Linked DNA regions of Lonchura striata. Each later gene encodes a partner of the first gene's protein in a complex. Links are inferred from orthologs where the notes say so. Each region holds a gene or a part of one and is shown in the gene's direction. Other genes may lie near its edges. The genes, in order: AAGAB and AP1S3.

Region 1 (15,601 bases):
TTTGGCCACCTACAAGAAATTACATTCCTGAGCTATTCCAGCTAGGAATGAAAAGGAATTCTTGGCAATGAAGAAAGAATTAAGCAAAGGCAACCCCAAGTTCTCCATCAACACTACAAATGCAACAGTTTAATTGAAAGATTCTTACCTTTCAATACTCAATATTTTACCTTGAAGGAAGGTGAGCTGTGCCTAAAAAAATTGACAAATAAGATATTGCTAACTCTGTGAGTGCTAACTCCGAAATATGACTGTATATCTATAATTATATGCTTGTACAATGCAATTTAATATGAAGACTAGATGAGAATCAACTCTTGCAAAGCACAATATAATCATGTAATTGCCACTATAAACCGATTGCTAAAACAGTCCAAGCCTAGTTAAGACTGAACAATTAATAACCAGCTGTTAATCATGAGAGTTTGAGTGGTATTTTTAGCAGAACCTCCACCACACACACAAGGCAGCAGCAGCTGAACCCTGGGAGTTCCAAAAGCTGGCTCGGGGTGATGCTCAGCATCCTGAACTTCATCCCTACCCTTTGCAAGGTTTGAAATCACAATTCTTGGAAGCCTGGAGGTGGCAGGAAATTCAATTCCCAAATATCTGCTGCAAACAGCAGCACCTGGGGGCCTCTGGGACTCACCTTTTGGGGTGTCTTCTTCTGCCAGGGGTAAGGGAGAGCCCAGGGAGTGAAAGGCAGGCAAAGCCCAAGGGTTGGTGGCTGAGGGACCTTTCCCTATCTTCTGACTGCACACCTGGGAAGAGACAGAACAGGGAAATCTGGGATTTACAGATTTACAGGTTCTCTACTCCTGCAGCAATAAATAATAAATATAATTTCTGCCACGACTGTTTCATTAAGATTTAACAGTGCACCACTCCTTTTATTACTTGTGAACATGCTACAGTATTGTCTACTGTTGTTCCTTCAGTCATTGAAAATAAAGTTAATTAAATTTAATTGATGTCTTGTGTACTATTTAATGAAGGAATCTCAGGAAGTTTGTATTTACACTACTCTCCTTAAAACTGAGCAGTTTAAACAGTTTTTAACAGTTTTAGCAGTTTTTAACACTGAACAGTGTTAAAAATATAAAATGCATACGCAGGCACGGAACCAGAAGGAAAAATAAATACTTTAAAATATTAGCTTTTAATGAGTGATTATCAAGCTTTGAGTGCAACCCAAGCCATGATTGGGATCTTGGAGCTCTGTTGTGTCCTAATTATTGAGTAACAGCACCCAGCAACTTTCCAGAAAGGGCAAAGGAACTCTCAGGAGGGAAATGAGACAGATCAAAATTAACTATTCTAATCTTTGCTCCCAATTTTGTCTAACAACACTGCCCACGGGAGATAAGGGAGAGAAAATCTGTACTTTTTATCATCCTGGAGAACCTTTCAGAGCAAAGCCAGCCCCTCATTTTAGTTCTGGCCATTGGGGAGCATTCTGTTTTAAGGGATGGAGGTGGATGAATCCTCATGTCCTGGTGTTCCAAGAAAACAGCAATAACCATGGAACAAAGGTTAACTTTATGCCTGCTGCCATGGAAGTGACTTGATACTGAGAAAAGGAAATTATAACCAACATTTTCCTGCTCACCCTCAGCCCCTGCAGTCTGGTGAGGCCACGACAAAGATATATAAAAGGCAAGAAATTGAATTAAACAGTGATTCCTCTCCCAGACTGCTGCTGGTGTAGCAGTAAGGCAGCACTGATTTTACTCCTGGTCAGTTTTATCCTAATTTAAATCCCACTTATGAGGTTTTGTTATGATAAACAGCACATGTAATATATATTTATTTTCATTGTGTTCATAGAGATGTAATAAGCTACAAGGAAAAGCAGTTCAGGTGCAGTGTGTGAGTTCAAAAGCAGCCTGGAGGCTTGGTTTTTAACTTTTTTTTTTTAATTGGAGATAGATAATGAATTATTTTTGACGCATCCTTTAATTTCTATAAAATCCACAGCAGGTGTGATGTTAAAACAAAGACTGATGCAACAGAAATGTAATTTAATCTCTCATTTGCACTGCCCAGTGCCATCAGTCAGTAGGACAGAAACACAGTGGGACCAGGGAGCTGATCCAAACCAGCTCCCCAGGAAAATTCCACCCAATCCCTCCCCATTCCCACGTTCTTCCAGCACCCTGACTGCTGCACTGGCTCCCTCCTGAAGAATTCAGGGAGACACCCAAGCAAAACTGCCAAACCGCTGCCATTTGGGGAGTTACTGTCACTGAAATTAAGCCAACACAATTATAATAGGACCTCAAACACAATATTAAGTACAGCAAGATAAAGGTTTGCTTCTAACATCACTGTTTCATCACAAGAACTTTTAAAATTCAGTTTTGCAGGGCTGGAAGTGAGCTCTTAAATTGCAGGGCAGCACAAGGCTGACTTGCCTTAAAATATGCTTAGAGTGTGCTAAAAAACTATTTTTTCATTTCAAGTGCTTCTGAGTGTAATTAACCTGGGACACAAGAAAAACAATTCTATTACCCTTTCTAAAGTGTTTTTCTCCTGTGGATAAACCTCTCCTACTTTATTTTTTCTTTTTGCTTCATTTTAAATAGGGCACTTGTTGGAACACCACAGGGATTTTTCTGATTAGTTCTCTATTTGTTTTCTTTTTACCTAGCAATATTTAACTAGAACAGCTTTTTTTGGTTGGTTTTTTTTTTTTTTTTGGTAAATATCTTTGTATTTTTTCCTCTAGTAAAACAAATGGTATTAAATACAGAGGATTTACTACAGAGTATTGTGTACCAAACCAGGAACAGAGACATGAGATTTGGTAAGTAAATATTACAAAATCAGAGTTTGATAGTGATGGAAAAAAAGGGATATAACAGGTTAATTTATCATTCCATCTATCTTCTCCAAGCTGTCATATTTGTTGTTAAGAAGTTCCTGTCAGGATTTGATGGACACAGCACTTCCCCCTATAAAGGGAAAGAGAAAGCACAGCAAAATAAAATCAATGGAGCTAAGGTCACGTCTCAGGATGTTCAGGAGACTGTCAGGAAAGGGCTCAGAGAAGGCAAATTTAACTGGAAAAATTTGGAATTGCATCTTTAACAACAGATCTTGTGTTATTCTCACCTTCTCTAAGCTCTTAAAGCAACCAGAGATGGTCTGAACTGTCTTGTTTCCCACATATTTGGAAAAATCAAGCTTTGCCCCTTTCCTGACCTACTGCTCTCTAGCAGAAACCCAGATCCATCAGAATTCCTCCCTAACAGGTGGGAAAGAGAATAAAGGGAGAACTTTGGTGAATCCCACATCTGCTCTGTCAAACAGCAGCAGCAGCAGCACAGAAGGGAGTGAGGCAGATAATTGCTGCCTTGAACCACAAGATGTTTTGCTGGTGGGCAGAGGGCCAGCTTCCAGCAGGCAGGATTTGTGGGAGCAGGGATGAGCCTCCCTTCCTGTCCGGAGCCAGCTGCGAGCAGCAGCCCATGGCATCCCAATCAGGCAGGGAGTTCTGTCAGGGAATGCTGAGCTGCACACAAACAGCTCTGCCTGCACCCCTGCCTTGTGAAATGACACTCCATCTCCCATTCCAGATGACAAGAACTGGAGGAAAACTTAAAACAAATGGTGACCTTTCAAAAGATTAATTTGTTTACCAACACACCGTTCTGCGTTTGTCAGGAGAGATGGGGGTGACCTTCACATTCCCATTTCCAGGTTGAGAGGATGCTGACTGCACTCATCTGTTAACTTAACTCTCTCTCACCAATTATTTCCTTTTTATTTTTAGTGGCAAGAGGATTTTATTCAATCACCGTGCTGCTTATTATGATTACATGCTGCAATACAAAATGCAAGGAGTTTCTTTTGATTTACTGTAGTGTGACATCAATTTGTTTAAGTCTCATCCTGCCACCACTGCCAAACTCTGCTTTGGCTGTAATTAGAGCCACATGTCTGGGTTTAAAACACAATCAGCTTTGGGCCACCTAAAGACCTGGTTTTCTTCTACAACTTCTTCCAGTCACTTGAAATGAAAGGAATTTCCCTGCCTTGCTTTATAATTTTGAAAATAAATACACTTTCAGGGATAAGCGTTAATGATTAGCAGCATGCAAATGCTGAATAAAGAATGAATAATTGAAGATGTGATTAGAATGGTTGTGCTCAAACAAGTGAGCTTAAAAAAAGCCCCAGAATCATTGCCATCACCATTAGAGCCACACTAGATAAGATGCAACTCATAAAGGCTAGAAATCATCACCATATTAAATTCTACCTCATGAATAAATGAAAAGGTTCCTAAGTTTACAGTATAAAATACATTTATAAGAAAACAAGGACCCAAAAGTGCCAGTATAATTCTGTAATAGAACAGCAGCCCTATGAAAACAGAAGGTAGAGCTGTGAATCTTTCCTACATTGCAGCAGTGCATCAGAATTATTTTTGCTGCAATTCAGATTACTGTTCCTCTGGCTGGATACTCCATGGGAAGTATACATATTTAATAATTATCCACTCACCATTTTTCATCTCTCATCCAGATATAGGCTGCAGAAAAAAAAGTGATGCCCAGTGTGTGTTTCAAAGAGAATTACAGCCCTCATTTTAAAATAACTACAGAACTTAGCAGAGGATGAAGCATTATTATTAGACCCAAAAAGGTCCAAAAGGGCAACAGTTAATTGTTCTTAGTTTCTATGATAAAACCCAGCATCAGCAACTTTATAATACCAAAAGAGCAAGAAAAGACATCACTTTTTGGTGAAACAATGAAACCCTGACTAATAATTTTTCCAGCTACTGGAATGGCAGGACAATAAAAAGTCCGGGTAGATTTGCGCTTGACCCCTCAGGTCACCTCCAACCCCGACTTTTTAACCTCACCACTCTTTCAGCCGCTCGTTGAAAACTCCTGAGTGGCTCGAGACAAGCAATTAGTTGGGAGTTTGATTTTAATTTACTCGGGGGACGGGGGATTTGTCCGGGGATTCTTTTGGGGACCCCGCGGACACCCGCGGGACGTGCGCGTACGGACAGCGCCCCCTGCCGGCCGCCCGCCCCTCCCTTCCGCAGCGATTTAATCTCCATTTAATCGAAAAATTTTAATCTCAATTTCATCCGAATTAACGGCATTTTAGACCTGAAGCTGCACGCAGATTCATTGTCCCTACCACTAATAATCATATATATCATGTATAATAATACAAAATACCTTCCTTAAGTGCTGGTAGACACCACCTTTAACAACAAACGTATCACAGCAAACTGCAAAAATTTTACAGCCAGAGAAGGCAGAACACCCCAAATCACACATTGTGCCCTAAAATGGGAAAATTTTGAAGAGAATAGAGAGGCTTAAAGTAACCAGAGATGGCTCTGAACTGTTTGCCACATATTTGGAAAAAATCAAGCTTTGTCCCTTTCCTGACCTACTGCTCTCTAGCTCTCCCAGAAACTCAGATCCATCAGTACCAGCTTAAAAATCCTTAAAAAAATCCTTTAAAATCTGCTTGGTTTTTAAGCCTGTCAGCTCCTCAGTAACTGTAAATATGTATCTGGGAGCCTGAGTAATTCACATTAAATGCTTGCAATTTAAATCCCCAATAAGTTTGCTGGGTTCAGTGCATATTTCAGGGAGAGTGGTACAACACATGGCTCTCTGCAGTTGGATAATATTCCTCTCTGTGAGTGTTTTAGAGTGGTTCTAAAAAGCTATTAGCCATGATGCTTTTTTCTAATTAACTCTATTATCACAGGGTTAGACAAATCACCTCTTAGGTCAGGGCAACAGCTTTCCAAAAATCATTTTTTTTTATAAGTGGCAGCTCACAACTGTGCCATTCACAGATTCTCTTTATGTTGTTTAAAACCAAACATCCCAGAATCTCTCCTAGAGCACTGGCCTTGCTGCAGGATGTTTCTGCCACATAAATTAAATTTTAGAAGAGCATCCCCATGTGGGAACCATTGGCTGTGTGGACCGCAGTGCTGTGCTAAATTTGTGAACATAATTGATTTTTTGGAGGGATGGCTGTGCCTGTTCTCTTTTGGGTTGTTTTTTTTTTTTTTTAACGCATTCTTTGCTAAAAATATCATCTTAACATTCAACTGCTGCAGAACAATTGCAGAACTGGCAGCAGAACTGAAATTTGCAGTTGCAGGAGGGAAATTTGGGAAAATCAAAACTTCATCTTGCACAGAGCAGAGAGGAGAATGGACTTTTAGTTTTTCCTGCATCTCTGGGTCACACCCAGAAGTCCCCAAGCTCCAGCTGATCTCCTCTGCCTGATTTTCCTGACACTCCTGACCATGCACATGCCTTGTATATCCAAATTTTTGCTGAATTGGGATCTTGGGACATAAACCTGTTCCATGTCAGATTTCTTTTTCCCAGTATTACCACCCAAAATGTTTAGATCTTTAAATACCCATGTCAAAAAGCAGGAAATTATGAGGAAATTACTTTCATGTAAAATTTTATTTAGGACTGATAAATACGAACTTTAATAGTGCAAAGCAATGCATATAATAAACCCATAAAATAATAAAAGTTACTTACAGGAGCAGATTTTTTCTTAGCTATAAGTGGCAGCCTGGTCTCATCGTTGGGATGTTTTAAACCAGCTTTATTATCCACGTTCTCCGGGCCAAGCATAATTTTAAAATCCATTTCCACCTGCTGCTGAAATATAGAATAGGGATAACCCTAAAATAACTGCACTGGGGTTGAAGTGTTTAGAAGCAGAAACTAGCTAACATGTTGTAAATGTGCAAAATGATGATAAAAATTTGTATTATTTGACTCCACACTGAACTGGGCAAACAGCAAAGAGCCTTTGTTTAGATGGAAAAGTTTGTAAGGACTGGAACTATTATCCAAATAGATACATCAGTGCAGGCACAGAACCTGATTAATAGTAAATGAGGAATTAAAAAAGCCTGATAGTAATCAGAATTAAAACATAATGCACTCTGTGATCTGCATGGAATGAGTTTGACTATTCTGCTAATAAAAATCATGATGATTTAAATCCCAATGGCCAGAAAAAGACTTTACAAGTTTCTTCTTGTTATAAGAAATACCTAAAGCATACCTATAAAACACAGAGGGATGCCCTATGTTTTTACTACAGTAGAAGTTTCTTAAATTGAAAATGTTTTGGTGCACATTCTTTTGTATGAACATAAAAATAAATCTAAGAAAATTCCAATTTTTACAAATAAGATATGCCATAAAATGTTCAAGAATCATTAGATGGGTACCTGAACTGTTGAACAACTGTGTTACTTTGTAAAGCAGTAAAAATGGTTTAATTTATCTATCTGCACTATATATTCTCTCTTCTTTTGATGGTAATTACAAGCAGATGTATCAATGAGATGCTCATTTAGATTTGGGGCTGTAAGAACACAAGTTATTATCCAAGCCAATTACTCTTTTACCCACATGGCTGCACAGAGACAGAAAGTTCAATTTTCACCTCATCAGTGCTTTTGTGGTATTTATTTTATTACTATAACACACCGTTATGCAGGGAGGAAATGCTGCTGCTATTAAAAAAATGGAATTGGGGGGAATTGAGCACCTTTCAATTAAAACAGGGATGATTCCCAGTGCAAACTCCTCACTCAGGCTGACAGGGAAATGATCAATGCAGGGAGAAAAACTGCCACACAGGGGTCACAAGAATTGGAACTATTAATAAAAAACCACCTGATAAAAGTGGCTTTGTCAGCCTGGCTGGGTGGGAAATGCCAGTTCCACACCTGCATGGATGACTCTGGAACCTTTCCCCATTTAAATGTTATCCTGGGCTGGGAGAAGGTTCCTGTCTCAGCTGCTCCTTCTGCTGATTTTTTTAACACTTTCACCATGGGGTGTTACCAAACCCTGACTCTGTGGGCAGTCAGAGCATTATGGGATGCACAGGACACCAAGCACTCCTGGAATGTGGCTGCTGGCAGAGGGATCAGGGTGTGGTTCCAGACCTGAGAGCCCTGGCACACACGTGGGGCTGATCTGCTGCACCTCTGCACAGTCAGGGGCTCAACTGGTGGCAGAACCAGCTGCTCCTGACAGGCACCAAAAGGAAGATCCCTGGTGGAGAGAGAAACAGGCAGTGAACTTCCTAAAAATTGCTTGGATTTCACCCGTTAAACCCACTCTGCTTCCACCCAAACAACTGTATTTCTATTTAAACTTGCATTTAACCACACGAGTTAGCAGAGCACTGCTGGGGCCACCTAGAATTGCATTTACATTTGTATTTTTTTTTAACTTAAAATCGAAAAAGGAAAGGACTAAACGAACTTTTTCTAGGTCAATACTCCCATTTGCTTTACATGATTACATCACCTCAGTTTTTGTGTCTTGCTGCAATAAACATCTGTTTCACTCACCACTTAGGGGGCTCTTTGGAATTCCCTTCTTTATTACCAGCTGAAGAAAGAGTTAACTCTTGGCCATTTGTAACATTGAAATAATTTTCAGCATGCTTCTGTGAAGGAAAAAATTATTTTTAGCCTATTATAAAGATACAGGGGATATTAATTTTATTTAACTCAGTTCATTAAGCAACCGGGTCTTTGCTTGACTGAAAAACTGATAAACTTTTTGTCTCAGTCAGACTAAAAATCTGATTTTGGCTGACCAAGATCATTTAATTCTGATGACCCAAAAAGGGAGGCATCATTCTGAACTGTAATGTCTGAGTAATCTCATCAGCTGCTGATTGGAAAGGGATCTTGTAACTCAAAAAATAAGTGGCCTGAGTGAATTATTAACACAGACTTTAAAAACAGAGTAATTTTCTAGGTCTGCTCTATTTTACTTACTCTCAGCCCAAGTTCAGTCCTTTCAGTTGCGTTTCTGAGGTCACAAATATCCATGGTTTCTGCATTTCCCTTCACGTTAGTTTTTTCCATTTTAAGCTTCTGAAGGTCTTCCTGAATCTAAAAAGCAAGTTGGGACAAAAATCATACCTGCAACCAAACCCCATGGGGTTAGGTAGGATTTAATTCAAATTAAATTATTCCTAAATACGGGAAAAAAAATATCCATGCAGATATTTATACGGTTCTGTACTATTATAAGAGACTACAAAGCCAATTACTTAAACTCACTGATTGCAGAAAGGCTGGAAAAACTAAATTTTCAAACAAACCTCACAAAGCAGTGACAATAAACTTCAGGACTGCGATTCTCCGCTTAAGGAATGATGTATCCTCACGCAGGTGCTTTCACGGGGCAGGGGATCTCAAAACCCTTTAGGAGAGACACAAACTCCAGGCAGCCTGCGAGGAGAGCACAGCCCACGTCAAACCCGTGTTATTTACGTTAACAAACACCTCCGAGCTCCCGAACCCCGCAGCAGCACCCACAGCTCCCTCACGCCGCTGCCCCTCAGCGCATCGCCCGGCCCCTCACAGCAGCACCGGGCGCGCCGCGCCTCAGCCGAGGGACACCCCGCGGTGCCGCGGGACACCCCAGGTTGCTGAGGGACACCCCAGGGCGTCCCGGCGGCTCTGGCGGGGCGGGAGAGGCCGGTCCGGGCGGGAGGTGCCGCTCCCGGCGCTGTCCGAACCCACCCGGCAGCGCCGGCCCCGCTCCGGCCATGGCGGCGCCGCCGCGCCCGGCAACGGGACGCGCCGGCCGGGCCGCACCATCCGCCCCGCCGCCGGGAGGGGGGGACGGCGCATCCAGCGGGGGCCGAGCCCGCGCTCCGCCCGCTCCCTCCCCCGCCGTCCCCCCCGCGGGCGGTGGTAGCGGCGCGGCGGAAGGGGCGCGGCGCGGGCGCCATGGCGGCGGCGGCGCGGCCGCTGGCGCTGCTCACCAGCTGCGCCGCGGGCTTCGCGCCCGAGGAGCTCGTCAAACGTGAGTCGGGGCCGCCGCGGCGCCCGAGCGGGCGGAACCAGGGGCTGCGGCTTGCCCGCGCGAATCAGGCTGGCAGCGGATCCCTCCAGACCTGGCCCTTACGGGGGCTGTTTTCCCCTCAGGATCGCAGTTCTCCCCTCAGCCTCGCTGCTATCTCCTCACAGTCTTAGTATTTCCCTCAGGGTCGCTGCCATTCCCTCACGGTCTCAATCCTCCCCTCAGGATCGCCGCCATCCCCCCACAGTCCCAGTTTCCCCCTCACGGTCCTAATTTTCCCCTCAGGATCGCCGCCGTCCCCTCACGACCAATTTTCTCCTCAGGGTCGCTGCCATCCCCTCACGGTCTCAATCCTCCCACCTCAGGGTCGCCGCCGTCCCCTCACGAACCAGTTTCCCCTTCGGGGTTCCTGCCATCCCTTCACGGTCCCAATTTTCCCCTCAGGATCGCCGCCGCTCCCTCACGACCCAATTTTCTCTTCAGGGTCGCTGCCGTCCCTTCACGGTCTCAATTTTCTCCTCAGGGTCGCTGCCATCCCCTCACGGTCTCAATCCTCCCACCTCAGGGTCGCCGCCGTCCCCTCACGACCCAGTTTCCCCCTCAGGGTTTCTGCCATCCCTTCACGGTCCCAATTTTCCCCTCAGGGTCGCTGCCATCCCCTCACGGTGTCAATTCTCCTCCCTCAGGACCCAATTTTCCCCTCAGGGTCGCTGCCATCCCCCCACAGTCCCAGTTTCTCCCTCACGGTCTCAATTTTCCCCTCAGGGTCACCGCTGTCCCCTCACGACCCGGTTTTCCCCTCAGGGTTGCTGCCATCCCTTCACGGTCCCAACTTTCCCCTCAGGGTCCCCATTTCCCCCTCACGGTCTCAATTTCCCCTCAGGTTCTCATTTTCCCTTCACGGTCGCAGTTCTCTCAGGGTCTCAATCCTCCCCTCAGGACAGGAGGATTGCAGCCCCCGACCCCTTGCAGAGGGTGTCAGCAGCTTCCTTAGTGCTTTAAGGAAATAATTCACCGCTTTCTCAGTGGGGAAGGATTAAAAGGGAAAGCTAAAAATTGTGTCTGTTCTGCAGCTGCTAGAATTGCAGATTACATTTGGTACCGAGTAGGTAGAACTCATTCAAGTAGGAAGTAGTTTTCCCAGGAACCACTTGCCATTTTTATGGCTCAAAAGGGGAACACAAGAATAAGATCTGATAGTAGAGGAAACCATGGTGGAATTTTGGGTAGTTTTAAAATCGGAGGATTCCAGGAAGAAGTTGTTCAGATCTTGGTGAATTCCAGGAAGAAGCTATTCGGATCTTGGTGAGCTCCCTATGTTAGGACAGCCTTGGTTTTTAGGGAGTTCACCAACAGTTTGCTGTGCACACCAAGATGTGGAATTTAACTCCCTCAAATCTTCTCTAGATTTGTTTTTCTCTCTTTCTGAGCAATTCTTACTTAGGACCTCACCAAGCACAGGGCTGCCCCCAGGAACTGCCTCCCTCCACCTCACTAAAGCACGTTTTGGAATAAAAATAACAGTACAAGATATTCAGCCCAAGGCTTCTCTGTCAAAGCAGCTGCAGGACACTGAATTATTTAAAGATTCCACACCAAAAAAATAGTATTATTAGCTTATTTTTTGAGGAAGGTGTAAGCAAATTGGAAGGAATTACTCAAGGTTCCTCTAGGTTTCCCCTTTGATTACTTTGCATAGTGAAATGAAACAGGTAGAAAAGGCAGGTGAGCAAAAAGCTACTTAATCTGAGGAAGTCGTAACATTTAAACTCAGATTTTTTTTAAACTAGCGCTCACTTTGAAATACCTCAGCTTCCACTGCTCCCAGTTCCAAATCTGGAGTCTTGTCTGTGTGTCCTCTGACTGGGTTACATTAAAATCCTCCTGAAAGAAATAAAATAATGGGATAAAATAAATACAATCAGCATCTTAAATCCTTGCTTTGTAAAACAAGTGAGATTCAGAGGCAGCAGACTGTAAAACATTCACAGGCAGGGATGGGGCAGCAGTGGGGAGGGTTTGGTGGGGTCAAACAGCCTGCCAGAACTTTTCAGGCCAATCCCAAGACTTTTTCCAGGGTTTTCCTCCTGTTAAATGGAAAATGGCTTGAGGATGAGAAGCAGCTGAGGGTACATTTGCTAGATACATTTTTATTTGTTGAGGTTTCTGCAGGGTGCTCTAAATGCTTTAATTCATGGGACACTGTGGCAAAACAAAGCTATTTAACGTGCTCAACATAGATCTGCCTGTTATTGTGATGTATTTGTCACAAAACTGCTAATAAGATTGGTTGAGTTTTCCTTCTGTCCGATGTGATTGTTCTTCCTTTTCTTTTTGGATTTTTACCACTCCCCTCCTCCCCTTCCCCAGCATATTTGGGTTCTCTTTACTCCTTGGTGTAATTTTAGGAGTATTTTTTATGGTTTATTCCACCAGGTGGCTCTCAAGGCCCAGAATGTGGGAACCATTCCGTGTACCTGACAGCTGAGGATTTGGGAGCATTTAGGGCATAATGTTCTTAAAACATTAATTCAGTCTGAAAAGCACTATGAAAAGTGGTCAGTATCAATCTCTTCGGGGGAAAAAACCTGCATAAAGAAATTGTAATAATTTTAAAAATTATTATTAGACACATAATGTACTAAAAGTGACTAAATAGCACTTGGGTATTAGAGAACTACTGCAAGAGAGCTACATGTGATTCTCTGATTATTTAACTCTTCTGAAAAGTTATTTCTGGTCTTCAACTCCCCTTTTTCAAGTGTATTTGCACTTTCAGAAGACTTAACAAGATTCAGCATTAAAAATGGGAGGGGATGTGAGATTTTATAATATTGTCATGTTCTTGCTTGTGTTCAAAATGATTATTTATCTTATCTGTATGATAAAATACGAAATTAAATGTCAATATTTAAGTCAGTAAAATGAGGGAACATTTTTGTTAATAGCTGAAAATAATTTCCAAAATATTTTTTTATATATATATATACACATATATATATACACACCTACCTATTGTCTGGTTTATTAAAATATATAAATACTTGTGAGTGAAGAAGGGACACAGCTGGTGAACTTGCTGAAAAACAGAAGGCAGTGACTGAGTGCCTGGAAGGAATGAAACCTTTTCCTCTGGAGAGGTTCCAGAGAAGTTTGGAAGTTCTGGAGCTGTGTGACACCAGGCAGGGTCAGTTCCTGAGCCACGAACTGATCTCGTGTGTCAGCTGCTGTTTGTTATTTAATGGTTTCTGGTACAAAAAGAGCAAAACCAGTCATGGGATCACCTGAAGAAGGGGAATCGCCCAGTGCAGGACAGGCCTTTGGAGGCTGCAGGAGGTGATGCTGGAGCAGCCAAAACTGGCTTCAGATCATCCCCTGGCTGAGCAGTTGCACATGAAAAAGGAGGAACTCCCTCAGAAGGGCTCAGCTGGACAAGCCACCTCCTTTTGCCATGTTAATTTTCTAGGAGTTTATTCTCATCATTTCCCCCTGAATTAGACACCAAACTCCTCTGGCTGAATTTCCTGTATTCATTCAAATCCAGGCTGTCTAGAAAAGAAATTTCTGAAATACTGGGGTGGTAAATACAGCCCTTAAAGCTAATTCCTGCATCAAATGAGAACTCAGTTTGAGTTACAGTGTATGTTTCTTTTGTAGTCTCTGCTTATTTGCTCTACAGACCAAAACCAAACTGTTCCAAGTGACTTTTTGGGGAGAAAACTGACAAACTGCTCAGTTTCCCGCAGTGATTTCTTACAGCTTCACAAGCAGCCCGAGCACAGCAGGTCTGAATCCTTTCACCAGGTTCCTGAAGCCCTTGGAGTTTAGTGTGCAACGTCCATTTTTTACTGGGAGAGAAATTTCACAGGGAATTGGCAAAACCTCAGCATGAAGGATGGGTAATCAGCAGCACAATGGGATGAAAGAAAACCCCTTAAAATACAGGAACAAGTAGCAAATAATAGGAAATGGGACATGGCCTCATTCTAGCAGTGCTTTGAGACCTAAATTTGTCCATGGACTCTTCTAAAATAGATATCCCTTACAAAGCAAATGTGAAATCCATATCAGCTTTTGAAAACTTTTTATGAAAGTTCTTTCCCTTTGTATCCTTGTTAGGGTGACTGACTCAGGTGACTTTAGAGCTGATTTCCTTCCTCACCCCATTTTCCTCCCTAAGTCTTCCTGCTGATTTCCTGGGTTTCAGTAATTTCTGTGCACCCTTTTGTTCTTAACCTCCTATGGCACTGACTTGTAATTCTGTTAGCTCAGACTGATTTTAATTTAGTTACTTATTTTTAACTGTCAAAACACTAGCAAGGGGAAATTAATATCATATTCAAAACAAAACCTCTGAGAATACAGAGCTCAGAATCCAGGTTTGTTCGGTCGTGACTCAGATCTTTGTCCCCCAGCTCCAAAGTGAGGTGGATAATCTTTGCATGGAATATCATCTGATTAAAGACCAGATATTCTGAAAAATAATTGCCATCCAACAATAAAATAAAACTTGAACCTGGAAAAGTCATTGAGATGTGGCACTTCTTATTTTAAGAAGCCCAGAGAGGAGACTCCTATTTCATCCTCTTAAAGAGGAAATGGCTACAGGTTTCTGTTTCCAAGGTCACATTTCTCCCTCAGATTCCACCTCCTCCTCAGGGCTGCAAATAATCCTGGTTTGCAGCTCTCCCTGCCTCGTGCCCTGTGCTCATTCACCAGATCCATTTCTCAGCTTTGCAGTTTACTTGTAAAAATCACTGCAGCCTTGGCAAGGAGGTTTTCCTGTCTCTTTACTAATAAGATACAGATAAATTCAAATTCATCTCCAGACTTTTTGGAACAGCCTGTTCCAGCAGCTCCAGGAACTCTCAGTACCTTAAAATACAAATCCTTGAAAAGCCATGTACTTTATTCTTTAACTCTTCTCCTGCCTGAGGCAATTCTGGATGACTCAGTCCATTTTAGAAATAATTGACCTTGTGTTCTAAAGTGCCCACGAGTTCATCCAGCCTGAACAAGATTTCCTGGCCTTTCCCTCAAGGAATAATGGGATGCTCTGCTTCAGCTCCAGGAGAGTTCCTGGGAAGGTTCCTACCTTGGAGGGCAGAGCTTGGCAGCACCTGAGCAAAGCACTGGATCCTAATGCTTGAGCTCCTGCATGGAATTTCATGGGAATTCCAGCTGAATTGTAGGAATTGGCTTTATTTTCTCATTAGTTACCTTCAGGTTTTGGCCACAGGTAAACAGATCTTTACATCTCAATGAGCATGCAAGGGTTGTAATAAAGTTTAGGTTTCTTCTCCATACATCCTGTTAACGGATACTAAGTTTGAGGTTAACACTTGAAAGGGCATTTCCAGGAAAACAAAAGGCTTTCTGCAGCTTCTGGGCCATATTTTATATTGAAAACTAGAACATAAACTCTTCTGAAAGCTAAGCAATAAAATCTAGGACAGAATAGCAAATTGAATTGAATTTTTAAAGATCTTGATTATGCACTGGTTTATTATAATAGAGATGGATCTGCTTTGGCACTCTACTTTCCTGGACAAATTATTTTCTTGCTGTTGGTTTTACCCTCCTCCTCACCCTTTTTCTGTCTTGCAGGTATCACAGGAAAAGATGACCTTACCGTGGGTGCAATAACGAGTGGAAGAGTGAATTTCTACCCCTGGACAATAGATAACAAATACTACTCTGCAGACATCCACCTCTGTGTGGTCCCAAACACATTCCACGTC
Region 2 (15,938 bases), on another chromosome or scaffold:
TTAAATTGTGGAGAATCCAGACTTAGTGAGCAAATAAGGAAAAGGCAACATAGGAAAAGCAGTCTGGAAAAGTACAAGCCCTGCCTAGTAACCAAGTGCAAGTGTTAGGTTGCTTCTCTATTGATCCGAAGTGCAGTTAAAAGCTACCTCCTGCAGCTGAATTTAAATTGGGCTTTTAAAGTTTTTTTATTTCCCCCAAGGACCTAGTATCTAGTGGTTAAAAACCTGCGCAGCAGGTCTCCTATAAAATCACCAAGTGGAGTGTTCATCAGCCTCAACTCCTTGGTTTGCACAGGGCAACTTACCTGAAGGAGTCTGTGAGCTCAGTTCAGGTGCTGAAAAACGACACCAAAGCATCTGCTGGCTAGAATCAGAATAAGTGCTCAGTGTTCTGTCTCATTTATTGTGGTACTCAGTGTCAGTGAAAAGACTTCTTCCTGCAATAAAGGATAGTTTGGGGTTTTTCCAGAAGGAAAGCTTGTGCAGTTTTGTTTCCAAGAAAGCGAGCATGTTAGATTTTGTTAATTCCCTACTGTTCTTTAGACAGTAGTTTGTGTCTCTTAATTGAAGCTGACAGGATTTGTTTCTCTTCAAATGCATAGGAAAATAACTTCCCAATTAATTGTAAATCATTGTGAATATATAGCTTTACTTATATGTTTCAGGATTAGCTTCGGAAATACACAAAGCTTGCAGAGATTAGGAGGACCCAAGACAAAGCCTGTTGCAGGTTTACGCATCTGACATTTTAGCAATGGCTTCTTTTCACATAAATAATGCCCAGAGCCACCAAAACTGCTGCTTAGGAGCTAGGGAAGTTTTTTCATCAGGTGTAGGCACTCAAGGCTCACTGAATCCACTGTAACTCTTGGTGTGAGTGTTTTCTACTTCTGAATATGACAGGCTGCTAGGAGAGTGGAATATAAGCAAAGAGGATAAAATACGCCAAAGCAGTAAAAAGCTCCTTGCCTCTCTTTAAAGCCTGTTTCAAAGAACCCTTAAGAAAGAAAATGTTTATACTCCTTCCATGCAGAAAAGGAAGCCAAAAAAGAAGGGTCTCAAACCTGCTTTTTGCAGCAGTTTTGAATTAGAGAAATAAATATGCATTACTTTGCAAACATTCATGTTCAAGTTAACTAACTGGGCCTAAGGGAAGCGCTGGAAGGAGCTCATGTTGTGGCATTTAACTGGCATAAGTTCACCCCATTGGTTCACCTGGCACAACTGTGTGCCCCAGCTGCCTCCCCCTGCTGAGTGACATTAATAGCTCAAACTTCCCAGCTAGGAACTACTGATGGTTATCTTCTTTATAAGAAAATTATACAGCTACACAGTGCTAGTGGAAGAGAGACAGGGAGGGGAGAATTCCAAGTCCTTTCCATGGCTAGTTAGGCAGTCATTAAGTGCAGCCTGGCTTTCTGAGCTGGAAAGGATCTAATTTAGGCATGATCCTATATCTGCAGGCTTCTATAGGGCTTCTCTCTGCCAGCTTTCAAGATTGGCCATAATAGGCTGACTTTGGTTACTGTTCTTAATGTTCACTCTATCCATGTGGTGTTTGCTGCTGCTGCCGCTTTTTTCTGATTACTTGCAAAAACACACAAGCAGCAGGCTGGTTCTCTTGAGTTTATGGCCTAATTAGGTAAGATCTTTGCATAGGAAAATAAAATTATAGGGGAACAGTTGTTAAGCAAAAAAATATTATTGCCCATCACCTGAGTAAGTTACACAGGTAGGGAGTCAGGGGTATGTTCATCCCTTAATTTTAAATTCCTTTTGGAGATGGAAGTATTGATGCCTCACATCTGTTGCACTGTGGTGTCCACGTTCTTGTGTGTTAGGCAAATCCAGTTCTGAGTGTTCCCTGAGACCTGGCTTTCCCAGAGCTGCAGTGCTGTGAGCACTGCCCGTTCACCAAGGCAGTGTTTGGGGTTTAAGTGCAGGTCAGCCCCTGTTCTGCATAGGCCACAGCAGGTAGAGCTGGGGGTGCAAGGGACAGGGGTATGAACATGGTTATGGGGAAGGCAGACATCTCCTGGGAGAGGCGGTATGGGTACTGTGGCACTTTGTGTGTCTTTTGGAGAATGTGGTAAAAGGTTTTGGTCTGCTTTAACAGATTCTGATTGTACTAAGTATGTATTTGGCAGGCTCACTGAAGGCAAGGTGGTGCCCCAGTAAAAAACCAGTGAGGCCCGTGCTGTCTGGCAGCACGGCAGGGTATGTGCTGCACCCCACAGCACAAAGTGTGAGATGTTCCTGCCCTTTGGAGATAGTGCTGCTTTATGGGCGCGGGCTGTGCACTCGGGAAGGGCAGAGGCCAGGGCAGTGAGCAGATGGAGTATCTCTGAGATCTGTGGGGCAGCTGGGCCGTGCACTTTGTGTGTGTGGTGCACTCCAGAAGTGAAAGCAGAGCACTAGGCAGCCGGCAGCATCACAGCACAGTGTGCCACGTGCTGCTTGGTGGGCTGGGGCTGCAAGATGCAGAAACCACAGCTCAGCAAGCAGCCGTGAAGGACTCCAGGAACAGTGTGTCTGTATAGACCAACCCAAAACTTAGGGAGGGCTGAGCAGAGTAGAGTCATGCACAGTTGGGAAAATGTGGAAATTACCTCCACGCTGTTGCACGAGCATAAGGAGCACACACCTGCATTTGCACTCTGCTCTTGCAAATTTGTGCTTCCAAATGGGAGCAGGTTTCAGCCCAACTGCCCTCTCTATTGTACATGCACAATTGCTTTTAGCCAGGGATCTCTCTTCCTTCTCTGAAGCCAGAGGCTGCAGAAGGGTTGTTGTTGACACCACAGGGATCCCTGAAGTCCCCAGGTGCCTTTGCATTTCTTTGCCTTTCTCACTGATAGCTCACATGCACCACTGCACCCAGGAGCAGGGCACAGTTCTCCCCTGCCTGTGCAGCTGGGATCCATATCCTGAACTGATGCATGCTGTGCTCTGGGAGATGTCTCTCCTTTGGACTACAAGACATGGGACTTAAGCACTTTATGCTCCTGCAGTAGTTTGTATCTGGATCAGACTCCTCGTAGAATTGAGAAGCCTTAGGCCTGGATTTAGATCTTTTGATTCAAGTGCTGAGTGTGTGGATGTTGCACATTCTTTTGGCACCAGCTGCTTATCAGCAAATCCCTGCCACAGGTTACGGGGATTTACTGATGTCCTGCCCTCTCATTCAGCTGCATCACAAAGCACCGGTGAGCCAAGCCCAGCCACTGTGAAGGTATTTAAACCATCAGAGTTCCATTTTGATGGAGATGGGCAGCAGAGCAATCATGCCTGTAGATCTACTCGTGTCTTTAGGGCATGGACGCTTGACGGGGGATGACCTGAAGTGCGTTTTGTTGGTGTCGGCTCTGCCGAGGTGAGACAGGCGCCCTGGGAGCGGCTCACCGAGCCGCAGGTGCGGCCGGGCCCCGCGGCTGTCAGCAGCCCCGCCGCCGGCCGGCCCCGCCCGGCCCGTGCCCCGCGGCGCTGCCCGGGCGGCGGGAGGAGCGCCGCGAGTTCCTTTCGGGGCATTGTGGGAAGCCGATGCGGCCCGGCCTCACCTGAGCGGGGCGGGCGGGCCGGAGCGGCGGGCCGGGCCGGCTCCCAGCCAGCCGCCGCACCATGGTGAGTGAGCGGGCCGGGCCGGGGCAGCCGGGCCCTGGGCGGGCGCGGAGCGCGGCCGGCGGAGCGGGGCTGCCTCGGCACCGGCCGCGCCGCACGCTAGAGCCGCTCCCAGGCGGGCTCGAGCGGGGCTCGCACCTGTTCGGGGGAAATGAAAGCCCTCTTCTTTTCCGTTTTGTTTCCCGACCCTCGGGATGAGCTCGGGTCACGCCGAGAGCCTGCCTTAGACGACCAGGGAAGGCAGGCTGCTACAGAGGGGCTTTTAAAAGTCTTCCTGTAACTCGAGGAGCTGAGGTGCGAGTCGGCTCCAGTGCCGGGAGAAGGATCGATGAGGTTTCCTGTGGGTCTGTCTGTCTTTAGGCTGACTGGCGGCGGTCAGTGTAGGGCGGTGGGATTTCTTGTGCGGGATCGTTGGGAAGAGCTTTTCCCCGGCTGTGTTCCCTGTTGTCAGGTAAGTGGAGGGCTCGCACTGCAGCCCCGCCTCCAGCCCGGGTGCTGCTGCACCGCGGCCGGCTCTGATGGGGCTTGGTGGGATTTGGCTGCGCCTTTCCATCGGCTCACGAACGCACCAGCGAGAGCGTGTGGGTCTGGTTCTGAACCTTCTGTCGGTCACCAGTGGCACCGTGCGACCCGGCTCCAGGGCTGGGAAGGGGCAGCAGCCCTTCAGGTTAAAGGGCTGACGGACGGGGTCCGGGAAGGGAGAGCCTTCGCCTCTCCAGTGCTGCGCTTGGTGCTGGTTTGCTGTGATCAGAAAGGGGTGCTGTGGATGCTCTCTTTTGTTAAGAATGATGGCCAACATCGGAGTACAATAGCTAGATTTTCCCCAGAGGGGACTGCAGGCTCCCAAGTAGAGGTGGTCAGTGATGCCTTTTAATAGAGAAACCATCTCACTGCTTGATAATTCAGGCTTGAGGCAGGTTCTACAGGCATGCCCCGAGCTTCTGTCTTGCACAATTTGCCCATTGTGCGCACCTGTAATACCAGTTGCTGGCAGTGCAGCTGAACAGAAGCCTCTCAACTCCTTCAGTGGAGGCCAAGCGCTGTTGTTTGTCTCTATCCTCAAAGGCAGAGCTGTGTTGTTTCTCTTCAGTGGTTTAGCCAGAATGCTAAATATGTGTTAGTCTCCTGTATTTAGAAAGGTGTACCTGTCATTATATTTGCAAATAGAATATGCACAGTAATGAGTTTACAAATGGCAACGCAGTCTCCACACCTTAAGTCCCTGTAGAGATGTGACTTTTCTGGTTACACCCTGAGATAGCCCTACATACCCAGTTCCCTTTGGTAAAGCTTATGTAAACAACTGGAGTTCCTATTTTGCCCTTGAAGGTCAGTTAATATGGGAGCTGATTTCAGGGAATGTGATCTCCGAACTCTCCTTGATGCGGGTACTTCACAAATGCCAGTTTTCAAAGCACTCACGATAGTCCCAGGGGAGCACTGCTTTTACAAGAGTGCTGCTATTGATGATCTGGAGTCTGGCTGCTGTATTGATAGTTAGAATTTTACAAGGTGAGTGTGCATTTTTACAAGTAAGAATTTTATTTTTATTTTTTGTTTGAGGCCATAGTACAAACACTTGCTGGTGTTACTGCATCATATTAGTGCTGTCAGCCTTACCCTGTTCTTCTCTTGAGGATCTGGTGCTGATGAAACAATGCTTTTGTCAGGGAGCTCTAGCTTTAAATTCCTCTTGTCATCTAGTCTCTGGAAAGGGGTTGTTAACACTCGCTTATGAGTCAAGGAAAAAGGGTTTGCTGGTTTATAAACCAAGAATAAGCCTTATCCAGGCTCATGAGTGGTGAACTTTACACAGGCCATTGAAATTTTCCATAGACTGGTTCCTCTGTTTTCCAAGTTGTGCTTGCCACCTTTTTCTGTGTTTTGAGGTGGAATTAAAGGTGCTTGTGCAGATGGTGCCATGTCTTAGCAAGAGGGTTGTTCCAATTGTTTGCTCTCTGCAGATTTCCAGGTAAGTTTCAGGGAAGAGTCTGTTCAGCAGAGCTGATTTCATATCCAGCTAAGAAACACAGCTTTTATGACCAGCTTGTGCTTTGTGACATGTTTGTTTTTTTTTTTTTTTAAATTGCTTTTGAGAAAGACTAAATTCTGCTTCCTGATATATGTGGGTGCAGCAGAGATACATGTTATGAAGGATTGCTGTCTCAACAGAGTGGGGAGAGAGCACAGAGGAGAAAAAGATAAGTCTCCCCAAGGACATGTGTTACTGTTAGTCTCTTGTGCCTGTAAGTGTTGCAACACCTCGATCCTACTGCTGCCTCAGTGTTACCAGGATTACTTTTGTGAATACATACAGAGCTCTGCTTGCATAGCTCTGCTCAGAATTGGTGCCTGTGTAGTAAAGGGTCTGATTCCCGCCTACCTGTGCTGCTCATCACTACAGGGAGACAAATTAGTACTTGTGGGCTTGATCTGAAACCCTGGAGAAAGATCAAAAGAATCCCATTGAGCACCGTTGCTCTAAAAATGTACTTGGCCTGAATAGAAAAGGAGTTGGCAAGCACTGTTTCCACTTAGCAAGACTTTGATAACCAGTCACTGATCTAGAAGCTGGGGTGGAAATACTAGTTGATGTGACTGCTGCTGACACCTCCCTGGTGTTTGGAAATGAACTCTCAGCTCTTCTGAATATTGAGATCATCAACACTCTCAATGCCCTTAATGGTGAAAATGGATGTAGATCTGCAAAAGATGTTTTCAGTGCTGCACAGAATTTACTATTTACAGTTCTAAGAATGACTGCTTATTTTCCACTCATGATACAGCTGTGTATTGGCCGCAGGAGGACAATGAACTTTGCCTCTAGGCATTTACCTCTGAAAGACAAGGAAGGCAACAGATTAGAACAGATGAGAGGAGAGAAAATGACAAATAAATTAGTGTGTTGTTGGAGGCAGCAATTCTTATACTAGATGACAAAAAAAAAAGTTCATGTGGTATTTCTTTGTTGATTTGTCTTGTAGTGAGTTTTTACTATGGTAGTACATAATGGCAATGGAATGGCATCCTGTGTAGAAGATCCTGAGTTTGTAGACTTTCTGCTTGCAAAGGGGTGACTGCAGGGGAAGTGATAGAAACACATGAAATCATGAACACTTGAAGACTGGTTGCTCTACAAAGAATCAGGGTACATCCTGTAAAATATTTAGTCACTAAATGTATAAAAGATAAATGGGAATACTTTTTCACACAGTGTAGATGACTGTTTTCGGTCCACTGCTGAGCGTGCTGTGGGTGTCCCAGTAAACCCTCTTTACATAGAGGGTGGGGCCACAAGTGGGTTGTTTGCATGCAGTTTCTGTACCATAATTCTTAAACCTATTGATTTTTGGAGGTGGGACTACCAGATGATTTTACACATGCTCTGTTCCTTATGCTTGTGTCCTTCTGGAAGCTGCTTAGATGAGAGTACAGTTCAGGGGCTGATCTGGCATTCTGTTACTCTCTGTCATTCAGTTGGATTTCAGAACAATGTTTTGTGGGATTTGTGAGGAAAAATGTTTTTACAGTTCTTTGGAAGTGTGTAATCTCTGACTTGCCAGTTTTGGATGTTCTTTCTCCGAGTGCCCATGACCATTACAGATGGTCACTTTTTAATACTGGAGCCTGCTCAGGCCATGTAGGAATTGCCATTCATGCTTTACTATCCCTGGATATTAAGCTCATTCCTGAAAAGCAAAAAAAAAAAAAAAAAAAAAGACAATCTGCTCATTATTTGCTTAATAATCAGCAGTGTAACAATATTTTCTTTAAAAAAAAAATATATCTTTTGCTCAGAAATAAAGATACTGCAGGCATTTCAGAGCCAGGAGTTACTAGGATGTGGGATGCCTAGAGGGCTTTAGAGAAAGCATTTAGGGATGGCAAATGCAGGAAGAAGGCTGCAGGGATAATGGGCAGCTGGGTCTGTCATGAGGCAAGAAAATGACAGATTTTGCTGCTTTTCCATGTCTTTAGTTGCTCCAAAATCCCATGCTTTATAAACGATCCCATGGACTTTCTGAAGCCATCAGTTACCTGCAAGAGCTGCAAAAGGACAAAGTGATGAAAGCACTGAGGAAACTGGTGAGTCAGGGAGGGCAGATAGAGCTACCCCTCCCTCAAGCACCTGCAAGATTTATGCTTTGGCATCCACATCAGGCTGTGAGCCAGTCATGGTCTTGCTAGTGATGCCTAAATTAAAACAATACTGCTTGTGTGAAAAGAATTCTATCACATGTGCCCTGTTACTGATTTCCATTCCTGCCCTTTCATTTCCTACTGTCCTATTCCTGCAGGCTGTCATCTGCATTTTCTTGGCTGAGTTGGCTCTGTGCTTTCTTGAGTGCCACTCCTGGGCCTTTGCATTTCTGCAGATGTTGCAATGTAGAGAGGGAATTGCAAGATCCTGTCCTGCAAGCATGGCACATCATTTGGGAGTAGGAATACAGCATGTAAAGGCTTTGGGTTAGGATGTAAAGGTGCAATTTACATTTGCGTGTTTGAAAGCAAGCTTGGCGTGCCTGTCTGACCTGGAATGTCCTGATGTGTGTTTCTCAGTATTACAGATACAACCCCAGGTACTCCATGCACCAGTGTTTTTTTCTTCTCTAGCTTGCTGAGTTTATGTAGGATATCCATCTGCTCTCCTCTGTTAAGGAGGGCATTAAAATCCCTCTTCACTAACCAGTAAATGCCTGTTGTTGCCTTGCTTTTGGAGCTTGGGGATAGTTTTGCTCAGACACTCAAGCAGTTCTCAGTGGCTTGTTAATCAGCACAGGAGCTCTGTGGTCACCATCCTCTGCTTAGCCCCCTGGGGTAAGTGATGGGCACTAACTACAAAGGAATGAAAAATAGACTCTTTGTTTGAGTGAAATGCAGAAATGTACCATGTTGTGCCTTTGTTGTGCAAGGCTGTGTGCTGGAAGGAGAGCAGGTGGGGTGTTGGGCGAGTGCCTGTGTGCTCTGAGCTCCAGGGAAGCTGTGGGAAGTGCTGCATGAGACTCAACAGCCCCTGGGCTCAGGAGATGGAATGGGAAAGAGGCAGTACCCCAGGCATTTCCTTTCTTTGAAGTCTCATGACAGGACTTGGGAGAAATAGCAGAATGAATTTTTGATCCTTTCTCATTCTACAGGTTAAATATTGGATCAACATATAAAGCATTTTGGAAGATTTTCTGCTCTGGCCCTTGCTTCTGTAAACAGTGATTGCTTCTTTTATGTTTATACTTAGGTTAAATCCATGTTAGTTTTTACCTTAATGAAAAAATGCCATTTTAAAAGGGAGAATGGAGAATTTCTCAATTGAAAATGCCTAAGTTTAATGCTTCAGTGTTTCCAAAAGATTATTCTGTGCTCTTTCAGAGTTGTAAACATGATCTCAGCTCATATGTATCTTTAGTCGTTTTGGAGCTCAGGTTTTCTGTGAGCATCTTTGTTGGGAACTGGAGGAATGGGTATGAGGCTGCTGCCAATATGCACTGTTCAATCTGCACACGGGAATTGCCAGGCTGGAGTGCTCAGCTGCCTGAGGAGCCAGGTTAGCTTGTCACCATCTGTGTGTGCCTGCTCTGTCCCAGAGCAAAGGTTTTTAACTTTGCTCCTGGAGAGGTCAGAGGCAAGGGAAGGGCACTGCAGTGCCTTCATGTAGCAGGGAAAGCCCAGTAAATAACTGATAAGACAAAGTGGAAATGAAACTAAAAGAGAAACCTTTTGCTGGAATCCACTGAGTGAGATTTTAGCTCTGTTTCTTCACTTGGAGTTCAAGGAGCAGGCTGGAAAAATAGCTTCTTGTGCCTGTAAAGTGCACTGGGGTTGTAGTGAATTAGGGGTAGCTCTCAGCAGCTTGTTCAGCCTCTCCCCTGGTCCTTTCCTCCTTGTAGAAACCTAGTGAAGTGGTCCTCTGCCTCCCAAAATCATGTAAGCAAATAAAAACATCTAAGAGCCCAGCCTAGGAGGCAGAAGGGATGTGATTACCTAGTTAATAATTGTTTCAAATCTCTTCAAACTGCTGCTTTCTGTGAGCTCAGCAGGCTCACATCCCTGCTATGTGTCTTGTGGTGACACTGAAGGGACAGTGGTGTGGCTGCTTCCCTGGCCTGCTCTCCTATGGCAGAGCCTGAGGCAAACTCCAGCCTGGGTCTGTGCTTGCTTATTACCTGAAAACTGCAGTAATTCCACTTGCAGGAATAAAAATTTAAGAAAATAAAGAGTAATTATCCTCCGTAAAACCTGGATGCCATTGCCTGCATCCACCCCTTTGGAACTGTTTTGGAAATCTGTGCTGCCTCTGCTCTCCAGAGCAGTGCAAGAAGTCTGTCCCTGTTGGTGGGACAGCCCAGCCTGTGAGGAGGAGGCACAGGCAAGCCTGTGCTGTAGGGAGGACACTGGGCAGGAATGTCACCAGCTTGTGCCTATGCTGTAGGGAGGACACTGGGCAGGAATGTCACCAGCCCATGCCTGTGCTGTAGGGAGGACACTGGGCAGGAATGTCACCAGCCCATGCCTGTGCTGTAGGGAGGACACTGGGCAGGAATGTCACCAGCCCATGCCTGTGCTGTAGGGAGGACACTGGGCAGGAATGTCACCAGCCCATGCCTGTGCTGTAGGGAGGACACTGGGCAGGAATGTCACCAGCCCATGCCTGTGCTGTAGGGAGGACACTGGGCAGGAATGTCACCAGCCCATGCCTGTGCTGTAGGGAGGACACTGGGCAGGAATGTCACCAGCCCATGCCTGTGCTGTAGGGAGGAATGGATTCACTGGTGAAGGAATGCCACCCAGTTTGTGAGGGATGAGCCAAGGTGAGGACTCCTATAGAGATAAGTGGGAACAGAGCTAGAAGAAGCTTGGGCACTGAGAAAACTCCTTGAGCTTTGTTTTCTGGTTCTTAGTTAGGGGTCAGGAGTGAGCAGCTTGAGCTCACCTATACTGTTTTGATTATAGTTTTATTTAACTCAAGTGAGGCTATCAAGAAGGTTGTTGCTGTCTGGATTGATAGCATATGTTATAAATATCCTTAAAATGCTAGTGTGCTGGTCCATTTAAATCTTCTGTAATAAGATAAGGGTGACTTCTGCATCATGAAAAGCATAAAATCAATGTGTAACTATGGTCACGTGTGCCTGTAATGATCTGGCACAGCTTTTATTGCATGGACTTTGGATGTATTGTTCAGGGGAAATTGCTCAGAAATGTTCCTAATGGAGATTAAGTGAGGAAGAATCCTGTGCCAGGTAGGCAGCAATACATTGCTTCAGAATTTCTGTGTTGCTGGGTCTGTGTATATTTTCTTTTTTCTTATTTGCTTACATCATGCAGACTAAGTACGTGTTTGAAATTTTAAAGCTGAGAGCCAACAGTGTTTAACAAACATCTGTCAGCTCCTGTGCTGCTGTGAATAAATGCTTTAGTGACAGAGCAAACAAGTAAGGAAATTAATATTTTTAATAAAGTAGTCTGTTTTGAATTTTACATATTTGCTTTAGAAGTGTCTGAAACCCCAGAGTGTTTATTAAAGGTCAGTAGCCAGATGGGATTTCATGTAACAGCAGAATACCAAAATACCTGTACCTGAATGTGTTAGTATACTGTCTTGTCCTGATGTGGGTAGATTGCTAATAGGTCAATAGGTCTGTTCAGTGCATCTTTCTCATTTCACCCTAAACACCTGGCATTCCAAACCAACTGTGTTCACTATTTTTTTTTTTTAATTTCAGTATTTACTTTCCTCCCACCTTCAAAACAAAACAAAAAACCCACCTCACTGAACAAAGCAAAAACTAAAAGGAATTTTTTATTCTTGAAATGTTTTAGAGATAAAAAAAAAAGCTAATGGCTGGAATAATGTGAATGTTCATATTTTTTAAAAGAGAAAATTTAATGAAAGTAGGTTTTGTTCATTTTCAGTTGTGTTGTACAAATAAATACTGATAAAACATCTGGACAGCTGTCTATATTGGGAAATAGATTCTTTCATATCAGAGGAAAGAATGAAAAATAGTAAAAGAGAAGCAGAATATGAACTCCATTAGACTAAAACAGTGGCAGCAGATCAAGCAGACTTCAGGGAAATTAGACTAAGTTAAAAAAGAACTTTATCATGGCAAGTAGCTTCCTCTCCACCAGGTACAGCCAGTCAGGCTGGTTTTCCCCAGGCTTCTGTTGGCAGCTGAAGGTCTGGATTTTCATCCCACATCCCATTTTATGTGGTGTGGGAACTTTCATTGATTAGCATGTCTTGTATTGTCTGTTGTCCTACAGAAAGTTTTTAAGGAAAGCTGAAAGTTTCCTTGCTCTGCCAAGATGTCTGTTCAAGGATAGCAATTCCTAAGTTGCAGATTTTACTTGCCTGTGAATTTCAGGTGTCTGTTTTATAAAGGTGGCTTTGATTTTGGAGGGCTCTTAACCGAATTTGGAGAGGTTCCAGCTGAAGCAGAGTGTAAGCCCAGAGCTGCTGAAGTGACAGATCTGCCTCACAAAGTAAATCTTTGCCCAGCCACACACCCAGACAGGAAAGGGGATTCTTGCTCTTTTTTCTGCAGGCTTCCTCTTCTGCCTTCCCTCCCCTGAGGCTCCTTGATGAGTTCCCCTCTCCTCCCCCGGGGACATGGTGAAGCCAGATGCCACAGAACAGGTTTGGAACCGGTCAGCCCATGTTATGCAGGTTGGATTACAGGAAGAGGAGCAGCAGTTCTAGTGCTTGTTCTTTCTCACAGTGGGGTGAATTAGAGCCTCTTGCACACCCCTGGAGATCACCTTGTAGGAGGAAATGGGACATCTTTTACATGTTGGTGTTATTAAACAGTGAACTGGAGAAATTGCTCTAGGAAAGTCTCTTTCTCATGTATTCATTTTTATCTGCTACCCCTGCAAGTGGCTTGTTGTGTATGTAGTGGAATGCAGCCCTTTAGACAGTTGTACTAATTGTTGCAGATTAGGTTAAATTTTAAACCCTCTGTAAAGGCAAAAATGATCCAAGTTTGAAACTACTGAGCCAGTTGTGATGTGTTTGATCAGTCTGAAGTGTGTAATGGCCAAACAGTGGGGAAGGCTGCACCAAAGGGGACCTGCAGTCCTGGCAGGGAGCAGTCCAGAAGACAAGCTTGGGTGAGCTGCTTATCAGATTGTTACAGCCCATTAGTTAAAGGAGGGAAAGGTCTCCCAAAGAAGGTAGAAGGAAATCACAGTGTGTGTTATTTCATCTAGCTCTCTCGTATTTGCTGCTCATGAATATGTAAACCTTTTGTATTTTGCATTTTTGATGTCTATTCTATTTATTGGTAAATTATTTTATGTTAAAGTCTAGCATTTGATTTTTTTAAATAGCCCTGAAACTAAGGGTGTTGGTTTTTATCCTGGTACAGTTTTGTAAATCTTGATAGAACAGAAGGCCCCATAACTTTCCAATCTGTTAAGTAACTTTCTGCTGCAATTGATTCATAAATGCACAAGAAGGGGATAGAGTTCTAGCTTAGAAATTTTTAAATGTTTAAATGTTTAAATGTTTGATCTAAAAAATAACCCCAAAAACTATTTTTCCAATAGCCTACAAATAAAAAATGCAGTCATTTGGACTATTTACTGATGTTTATGGAGGTCATTTTGCACAGTGCTGTGGGTGGTTGGGTCTGATTCATTAAAACAAGCTAATAAAATTATTCTCAGCTCCCAGACTAAAGCTTGTCTCCACAGACTCCACATGTGAAGGAAACCAGTGCTCTCTTAGGAACTTACTCTTCATCTCAACTCACTCAGTCTTGGACCTAAAAATTCCCTCTGGCATCAGCCCTGGGTCTGGTGATTGTTAATCACAGCCAGCATGCCCTGGGATGGTAAGAAAGGGAGCCAAGCACCCTGCTTTCTAAGGTATTCTGCTTGTAGCAAGTCATTTGCCTTTGTTTTCCTCTGGAATTAGAACTTTTAAAGATGATTAAAGCATTGCAGGGTAATCTGCTTCTCTTTGCAGTTTGGCTGCTGAAAATGAACCAAAAATTTCTTAATCAACATCTATCTTGTCATCAGCACTATAGGAAAGCAAATATGTTTTCACAGTCAAGGAGCAAGGAACAGATGAGCTGTTAGATCTGTGTTTGTGCAGTACTTCAATATTATCAGGTTTATTGATGCATCAGAGTCTTTCCAGTGGGATGTAATGAACAGAGCCATGAGAGTGAGAAATGTGTTGTGTCATGACAGTGGGGCTGGGCAGAGCAAAGCTGAACTGAATGGAACAGCACTGGATGTTGAAATTGAAAATGCTAAAAGCCATTTAACCTTTTAAGAATGTATTATTTACCTCCTAAAGAGTTTCCCAAATTGAAGGGGCTTCAGAAATTAGAAAAAGGAAGAAGAACCAAAAGAGGAGAAACCTCACACACGATATTTTTGCTTTTAAGTACCTGCAGCTTTCTAATAAGCTGTTTTGTTACATAATTCTTAGCTGGCCAGTGATATGTACCTGGGCTTGAGGGTGCACTATTTTGCTGTGGACTATAAAATTTAGAATTGTGCATTTTCTGTCTATATTTCTGTAATAATAAAATTGCCACATGAAGTACGCAGTTACAGTCTGCATATGAAACAGTGTGGGACAGAAGACCCAAACAATGAGATTTTTGGAGCTTGTGTATGAATGTTCATACATTTAGAAGCATTAATGGATATTTTCTGATTGCAAAGAACATTGCCTCAGCTCATAAAAATGGTGGTGAGACATCACCTACATGTGTAGAAGAAACAGTGGAGTTCTCAAAGCAGTTTTGAGTGGAGAGCAGCTCACTTTCCTATAGGTGAAGCATGACATCCTCCAGTAATGTAATTGGCAGAAAGTGGTGGAAATATTCAGTTATTCCCTGGTTTGTTGGTATTTAACCTTTTAGAGGCATAAGGTTGCAGTTCTGCAGATATATATGTATTACATGCAGACGCTCAGATTTAAGGTCTCTTGAGTCCATCAGCTGACCCTAAACCAGAATACCTTTTCATTTTATTTTCTTATTGAAGCACTGCAGGCAAAGGATGCCACAAAGCTCACAGTCTTATGCTGTACATGCTGTCAAGTTTTGATAGAGATTCATTGACTCATTCTCTGCATTTTCAGTCAAATTTGTTCATCCTCTCCTGTCAGATGATTCACCATATTTTTAGAAATTTGTTTATCAAAGAGCTGCTTCCTCTACTCAATGGCTTTTGGATGGACTCCTGCTGACCTGCTGCTCTTACCTTTGGAACCTATGCTCTGTTTTCAAAACTGCCTCATCTTTACAAGGGCTTTGGAGTTAATGTGCTGTGCAGCAAGCAAAATTGCCTTTCATTCAGCCAGCTCCTCTCAGTGTCCAAGTGTATGGACAGTGAGTGGTGTCCCTGCATCACCTGAGAAGGGATAACTCTGGCAGCTGGAAGATTCCCATGTTAAAACCCTGCTAACATGAACAGAGATAGGCAAAACCATGGTGCTTTGCTATTCACTGTAATCAGCCATGTGTCCTGCCAGCAACATACTTGTTTTTATTAAGCAAGCTTGTCTGGAGAGTATTATAGGACTCACTAGAATGCAGCTGCAAAATCCTTGTAATTTTATCAAGCACATTACACTAGCAATGGCAAGAGCCTTATATCCAGTAGTAGATCCTGCCAAAGACACACATGACTAAAACCTTCCTCCTTTCCTTAAAATGATCCCACATTTGAAGTCGTTCATAGTATAGTCAGAACTCTTATCTCCAGATTACTCAACAACTGTGCAACTCAATAGCTAGAGAATGGTTCTGAATTATGAATGAATGCTTTGTTTAAAATCCAGTAGCTTTCCCCTTTTTTTTTTTTTTTTTTTGTATAGAAGCTTCTCTGACTTCTCTGCTCAGATTTTGCCAGAGTGTGGAATTATTGTATCTTCACAGAAATCTGAATTGTAATCTTGGTAGGGATTGTGACCTTTAACTTTATAATTCTCACTTGGAAATGTAGTGATGAAGTATAGGTACAGCAATAAACTGGAACAGGAAACAAGGAGCAGAAGGGATTAGGGTAGAGATTGAAAAACCTCCAGGGAAGGATAAGGTTAGGCTAATGGTAAGGGATGTAGTAAGAGACCTGCTGGATCAGGGCTTTGCACGGATTGGGAGCCAGTGAGGAAAGTGAGGCTCCTGTGCTTCTCCTTGGTGCCCCCAAGATCAGGGGAAGCCACCAGTGACTGTATGGACAACTGGCAGTGTACCTGTGACAAACATGGATATAGCTACGGCTACCCTTCCTGCAGACCCCTGGGTCCTGGGATTGGAGCTGCTGAGAGCAGCAGTCAGGATGCCTGGCAAGAGCAG

What was found.
Region 2: the proteins of AAGAB (region 1) and AP1S3 are in contact, whole or in part, in a crystal structure (PDB 9DDT), measured with the Homo sapiens proteins. The link is inferred for Lonchura striata from reciprocal best matches to the Homo sapiens genes AAGAB and AP1S3. Residues at the interface, in NP_078942.3 of Homo sapiens: Asn51, Lys52, Tyr53, Tyr54, Glu108, Val109, Met110, Ile111, Gln128, Ile132, Gly135, Phe136, Glu137, Asp151, Phe153, Pro154, Glu155, Arg161, Gln164, Ala165, Asn167, Ala168, Asn169, Val170, Met176; in NP_001034658.1 of Homo sapiens: Arg10, Gln11, Lys13, Arg15, Gln37, Leu40, Ser41, Arg61, Tyr62, Ala63, Ser64, His85, Val88, Asp92, Phe95, Val98, Glu100, Leu101, Asp102, Ile104, Phe105, Asn106.

What each region holds. Positions count from the first base shown.
Region 1 is NC_134613.1:23,173,144-23,188,744, reverse strand, and holds the start of AAGAB (alpha- and gamma-adaptin-binding protein p34), read left to right. Parts: upstream 1-9,766; 5' UTR 9,767-9,787; coding exon 9,788-9,863; intron 9,864-15,467; coding exon 15,468-15,601. UniProt on the Homo sapiens protein: May be involved in endocytic recycling of growth factor receptors such as EGFR.
Region 2 is NC_134612.1:9,421,462-9,437,399, reverse strand, and holds the start of AP1S3 (AP-1 complex subunit sigma-3), read left to right. Parts: upstream 1-7,673; 5' UTR 7,674-7,683; coding exon 7,684-7,704; intron 7,705-15,938. UniProt on the Homo sapiens protein: Subunit of clathrin-associated adaptor protein complex 1 that plays a role in protein sorting in the late-Golgi/trans-Golgi network (TGN) and/or endosomes.